2 linked regions of the Kluyveromyces lactis genome follow. The protein of the gene in region 1 interacts with the protein of each later gene in a pairwise test. Links are inferred from orthologs where the notes say so. Each region holds a gene or a part of one and is shown in the gene's direction. Other genes may lie near its edges.

Region 1 (2,919 bases):
CGTTAGTTGATTTAAAGGTGTCATTAGAGATTTTAAACTGGAAATCCTCGTCAACTCTTGCAATTGGTGGAAGCTGTTTGTTAATAGGATAAGCTTCGTATACAGAAGCTGATGCGACGGCAAAGAGAAGTGACAGCGCCGAAGACAACAGCAACTCAGTCTTCATAACCCTAAACCCTGTATAATGAACTAATTTCCGTTCGTGTAATTTCTCTTATTCCAAATTAAAAACTAAAGTCCAGTTGAACAACTATGAGTAAACTTAGTTCCAATTTTCCTTGTATGCGTTTCTTGAGCTCTTAATTCTCTCTCTGCTATTGCTTTCAGATGAAGGCTGTCAAGGAGTGAATGAATGGATCAATGAACAACGTAGCGATCGGACAGTTAGTGCTGCTCCTTCTATCTCAAAAGTTAATGGATAGTATAACGTAAAAGCGTTACTGGATTGCAGAACCGTTAAGATGAGGAAGAAACGAATGGGCCCTGAGAATACATCTTGTTTTATTTAAGGCGGGAGCCCTCATCTCGTGAAATATATGAATATTAATTGAAAGACACCAAAAATATCACAGTTGCAAGACAGGAAAAACCATTATTATATTTTGGTATTACTTCTCAGTAAACTAACGGGCCAGTTGGAAACAATCGAAATCCTCTACAACCCTGTCTTAGCTTTTTTCATCTCACATTCTACTTCTGGTCCCCCAAATTCTCACCTACCTCAAAGTTCTGAAGATTCACTTATAATTCTTCTTTTGGCATCCTTAAAACATTTCGCGATTTCTCTAAATGTGTTACCAAAATAGGATATAACGCGAACACCGGGTAAACCAGTAGCATCCACCAAAAAGATATAAAAAAAACAGATACAAATTCTTGTCACGTGAGGGGTTGTTTGACTATTATTCAAGGTCACGTGTGTTACGTATAACGTGACTTCCCCTTTTTGTAATGTAGGTCAATGGAATTTTGATTTTCTTTCAGCACTGAAATGGGTGATATTACTGTTAAGATCAATACGATGAACTATCCAAAAGGTTTAAATTGCAATTTATTGAAGTAGATAAGGTTCCAAACGATTCAAACCGAAGAACACGCTAGAGCGATAGCAGGTATAACATATTCTTGTTTTATTTGTTCCTGTCTCTTTGACTGATTGTGAGTAACGCAGGCATACTTCAAAGAAAACATTACGTTTGAGCTCAGTGTTAATTTGATATCTGACCTCTATTTTAATCGCGCTTGACTCCACAGATAATTCAAATACCAATTTAAGATGCCAAAGCTTGAACAATTTGAGATCAAAAAGTATTGGCAAATTTTCTCCGGATTGAAACCGGTGGAAAATAAGTTGACCCATGATCAAGTACTGCCTATCCTTTTCAATTCTAAATTGGACACCTCGATACTTAACAAAATATGGTTTTTGGCCGATATCGATGATGATGATCAACTAGATTTTGAAGAGTTTGTGATTTGTATGAGAATGATATTTGACATGGTTAATAAAAACATAGATTCTGTACCAGATGAATTGCCAGATTGGTTGATTCCCGGTTCAAAAGCCGAATTAGTCAAACAAAGAAAAACTGAACGTAGTAGCGGAACAGCAGAAACAAGTTCTGTGGTCAATGTTCCGACATCTTCGCCAGCTGTAGACGATTATCAAAAAGAAGTTGATTGGTATATATCAAGAGATGATAAGTCACAATACGAATCAATTTATGAATCAGCCATAACCTCTAGAGACAATAGTGTATCTTATGTTTCACTATCCTCCGCCGTTAGATCGAAGTATATCAATCTATCATCTCAAGATTTAGAAAAAACGTGGCGTTTGGTTAATCCTAAGCTTGACACTTCCATAGATAAGGATCCAGCACTATACTTTATTCATATTCTGAGACAAGTGAACGACTATGCTTGCCCAATACCATCACATTTACCTTCAGCATTGAAAGAAACTTTTACAAAGACTAGAGTTTCCACGGATTTGTCTTCCAAGCAGAGCGAAGTAAGAAGGCCAACACTATCCACATCTAACTCTTCATCTTACCAAATACCAAAACGTGGTGGTACTGATTTTTCTGTTACTCAGGGAACTGATTGGGAAGTAGTCAGACTTCAAAGGGAATTGGCAAATATTGACTCTGAATTATCGTCAGCACAGCAACAATCCACCTCTCATAATGACTCAAATGATAGAATGAAATTAGTAAAACAACAGTTAGAACAGTTCTTGGAATACCAAAAAAACCTTGTCAATAATTCCAATACTTCTTCAGAAAGCGTTGATGTTGGAGGTTTGAGGGATGATATAGAGAGTATTGAGCAGCAAGTACAAATGTTGGAGGAGTACCTGAAAACAAAGAAGTCGGAACTGCATAATTTGAAGATAGAGGTGCAATCTCTTTACTGAGGTTATTGACCTACCCTATATACTTTCTGGAGTAAATTTTGAACTACGTTGTTTCATGTATAATGATAATTCACTTCTTAGCTTAACTTTTTGGATATTAGAACGAAATTTAAACGTTTGTGGTGATTGCTTAGTACTAATTTAATTAATTTACATATGACCGTGCTGTCTATCGGCTGTTCTTGGTTTAGCCCTGATAATATTATCCACTCTCAAGAGGACTTCGGCTGCTTCGCTGGCTGAGGTTACTACAGCTCTTTTCAATTTATAACTTTCCACGATCCCTAGTTCTCTCATGTCAGCAATGGTGCCGTTATCCAAATCCAAACCTGATGTACTCATGCCGTTGTAAATCGAAGATCTTAACTTTGTGATCAATTCACTACTATCGAAACCAGCGTTGTCCGCAAGAATAGTAGGCAATTGTCTTAGGGCTTTTGCAAAAGATTCTACAGCAAGTGCTTTCTTACCTTCAACATTTTGCCCTACTGTGTCAACAG
Region 2 (3,934 bases), about 140 kb from region 1:
TTTGTGAAAACACTGAAAAAGAAATTAAATTTCACACACCCACCTAACTTTAAGCTATGTAAACTGTGTACCGAGAAAACTACGGAGGGAAATTCTCAGGTGATAGGAAGGAACGGAGATAGAGCAACAAGGTAATCTATGCAAGGAGCAATAGCTCTTACTTACACAGATGATCAAATTGTGTTTTACTAGCCGCAATATCGTAGCCGTTTTATCCTGCTAATAGAATTGTGTCTCTGCTGCTCTTTTCCCGTACCAACCCGTATTTACCCTCACTATGTTTCTTTTTCATTTTTCCTTTCCAGTTTTTTGTAAAAAAAAGAAAAGCACAGGAAAATGGAAAAGAAACATGGAAAAGGAAACTTTAATCCGTATTTCACGAAACAGTAAGAGCAAACTGGTAGGAGACAAGAAAGTTTTTTTGATATGCATAGGTCAGTCGGGAGATATTTATCGCACCTCCTGTTCTTGTCCTCGATAATTTGCGATGGGGTCTTGTCGATTCCCTAGTTTACGCTATCTATCAGATTTTCATCTCTGAAGATTAGATTACAAGCTCCTTATCTTGAAGGAAGAAAAAGACTTGGCAAACGCAGGTAACGACCTCAAGCAAAACACAATAATCAAACGGCGATCGGCAACCGGCGGTCGGCATTAGTACTGAAAGATCAGGTATAGGGAGAGCATCGGATGAGTGTTTACTTGCTGTGCTGGATTTTCAAACTGTCACTAGTGTGCTGTTTTTTCTCTTTACGATATGTATAATCATTCTTTAGATCAGCGAGCTTTTCTATCTGTGTGAGAGCATCTACGCGGTAACACTCCAGCAATAAAATGCGGGGTTGCTTACTGACTCGAGAAATGAGAATGTAGGCACTAATACTGATGGATAAATAAACATTTTTCCGCGGGTGATCGCAGAAACCGGAGGAAAGCAAGAAAAGAAAAAAGCGAACAACACGAGGGAACACAAATCACGTGCTTCGTATCACGTGCAGTTTGTACTGTGGCTGATGTAATGTCTGTATCCGGGTAATTTTCTTGTCCGGGTAATAGACGTTCCACAGTTTGGTGATTACTTTTTTCTTCTTCTTTTCCCTTTCCTCATTTTTTTCCCGACTTTTGATGAAATTGCACGAGACCTGAGCTGAAGAATAATACAAACTAAAGTATTTTCAATCATCGTCTACTGTTGATATCAACAGCATCGAGTGAAAGGCCACATTCAAATTTGAGCCTTAGTTCCAGGGAATAACGACAGTGAATCTTTATTTATCGAGCCGGCTTCTCTCATTCTTTCCGCTATGAATAGTGGAACTTCCAATAATCTTAAGCGCACTGGTAGCAGCAGTAGCGGTGTTGGTGCAAGGAATATGGATAATCATATTCGAAATCCTAATGATAGTCATCCCAGTCAAGGTATGGACAACATTTGGGGGAACAGTCCGGAATTCTCGACACATTCTCCATCTACCGCATCGAATCACTTACATTCGTTGATTAACCCCCCTGCTGATGTGAATAATGATGTTACCCCTAGCATTCTTTTGGAACAACTAGCGTTTGTTGATAATTTTATTACTGATTTTAACTCTGACTTTGGACCCAATGTGACAAATTCTTTTTACAACAATGAGGGACCTCATGGTGACACTGTAAATTCATTTAGTGGGATGCCCTTGAATCATCAAGTTGGTGGTTTAAGTGCAGATAATCAGCTCGCGATGGATGAACGTTTAGCGGCGGAATTGAGTGTTTTCGCAGATGAGACTTTTATTTTCCCAGATGAAGACAAAGCTGATAGACATGATAGCGATGACAACGGCGACCATTACAACAGCAACCATAACTTCGGATTGAACAACAATGCTAATCCTAGTACTAATGATAATAACATCGACAATAACAATAATAATAACAGTGGTAACAATCATAATAGTAATAATAACAATAATAATAATAATAATAATAATAATAATAATAATAACAGAAACTCTTCGGAAAAGAGAAACTTGTTCGATAGAAAATCAAACCTGCTGGGAAACCAGTATGATCATACGCGGCAACGGTTTTCGAGGAAAAGGTCATCGACACAGAATTCTCCGATCCCCGATCATGGAGGATTTACACACTTTGATGTTCAAGACCAATCCAATAGTCATAATACAGGCAACCTAAATGGCACAAGTGCAAACCGCCAACGAGATATGCCGTTTGCCACTTCCCCACTAACAAATTTATTAGCCGCATATGATTTAACTTCAATGTCATATCCGTCCAATACCACTGTATCGTCTGCCTCTTCAATCGTCAACACAGCTAGTAACCATGGTAATAATCATGTCAATAGCAACGAAAATCCGTATCGTCCAAGTACGGCTGCAACATCAGGATTTGAATCAAATATACAGATGCCAGACTACTCTACAATACAAACTGCGACTTTGGTATCATTGTTGCCTATCATTAATGTTCCCAGAGGTGCTTACCAGTCTTTGCGTAATGTTGGCTTTAAACCAGAACAGATTGACGCCATAGCTGCTATTATGGCTTATTATGAAAGAGAAAGAGAAAAGTTTGATCCTCCTGTGAGGAAGCCAACTAATTTAAATAATCACTCTACAAATAGACCACCATCGTCAGCTTCCCATCTGGGCTCATCGATAGATGTGAATTCGCAAAATCAACTGGTTCCTGAACCTCAAGAACATATTCAAAGCTCCGTTGGCATGCTATTGGATTTTTTGCATGAAAAACCTGAGCCATCTCCTCAATCAAGTGTCCATAAACCTAATCCAAAAAGAGCCAAAAAAACTCCAGTGGAAAAAGAGTCTAGAGTTATTGATACATATATGAAAAACTCACCGAAAGTGCACCACGGCTCAATTTCTAACAACATAAAGAAAGAAAGCGAAGAGAATTCTGCAAAGCAAACACTGGATGATGGTATCAGTAAAACACCAAAATCAGTTGTCAGGAAACTAGAATCAGCTTCCTCTCTTAGGAAGGATGTAACGTCTGCTAAATTGAAGGAAGAGGTGAGACAATCGGAAGAACTTCTCAATGACAAGGAAAATGCTGCTAAGAGTCTCGATGAGAAGATAAACGAAAAAAAGCATAATACTGATTCTGATAAAAACAATTCCTCCAGTGATGGTGTAGAATCGTCGTCCACTTCCTCAACCCTTTCTTCAAGACCCAAACTGCCGAACTTGGATCAAACTAAAAAACTTAAAGAGAAAGAAATGGAAACTTGGGTCCAAGATCTTTCACAGTTAGCTTGTGACTTGAAGCAAAGAATCAATACCCTTGAAATGGAAAACAGACTTCTCAAAAATCTTGTCATTGAACGTGGAGATCTCAAGAATGTTGAGTCTTATGAACTATCCAAAAATAACTCCTCCGAAAGCACTAAAAAGGATACTGACAAGTAAGCTATGATTAATAATTAGTTGTAACCTCTAAGTCGGACATATTTACCTGATGATGCGTGTTCTCTAAAACGTAACGTAACTTTCATCCAAGTATAAGGCCAGAGATAAATTTTGTATTAATATATAGTTACATTCCTCGTAGAATCTAACCCTATGATAGAATCGCGATAAGAGTTATTAGAGTGATAACAACAATAGCTACTAGAAGTATTGTACCACATCTGTTCTTTTTCCTTTGATATTCATTTGCTTTGTGAAGTTCTTTGTTCGCCTTTTGCAAATTATTAGATAATCCTGTCACATTTTCGCCAATTGTGTCAACTTGTTCGCCCTGTTCCTGTACCAGACTTCCTAGTTGTTTGAAGATGGCATTGACCTCTTGCACAGCAGAGTGGATTTTTGATATGTCCTGGGATCTTTCATGTTGAATTATCGTGTGAAAATCTAACTCATCCTGATTCAACAAAGGCTCTTGCTGTTGGGTAGACAAAAGTAACGGA

What was found.
Region 2: the proteins of END3 (region 1) and MET4 interact in a two-hybrid assay, tested with the Saccharomyces cerevisiae proteins (2 studies listed by BioGRID). The link is inferred for Kluyveromyces lactis from reciprocal best matches to the Saccharomyces cerevisiae genes END3 and MET4.

What each region holds. Positions count from the first base shown.
Region 1 is NC_006039.1:982,841-985,759, forward strand, and holds END3 (End3p), read left to right. Parts: upstream 1-1,276; coding exon 1,277-2,419; downstream 2,420-2,919. Other genes in the region: AXL2 (Axl2p), read right to left, coding at 1-166; chaperonin-containing T-complex subunit CCT2, read right to left, coding at 2,570-2,919. UniProt on the Saccharomyces cerevisiae protein: Component of the PAN1 actin cytoskeleton-regulatory complex required for the internalization of endosomes during actin-coupled endocytosis. The complex links the site of endocytosis to the cell membrane-associated actin cytoskeleton.
Region 2 is NC_006039.1:1,125,435-1,129,368, forward strand, and holds MET4 (Met4p), read left to right. Parts: upstream 1-1,304; coding exon 1,305-3,434; downstream 3,435-3,934. Other genes in the region: SNAP receptor VAM3, read right to left, coding at 3,586-3,934. UniProt on the Saccharomyces cerevisiae protein: Positive trans-acting factor capable of stimulating the transcription of the MET genes from the methionine biosynthetic pathway. MET4, MET28 and CBF1 are required for full induction of MET25 and MET16 gene transcription.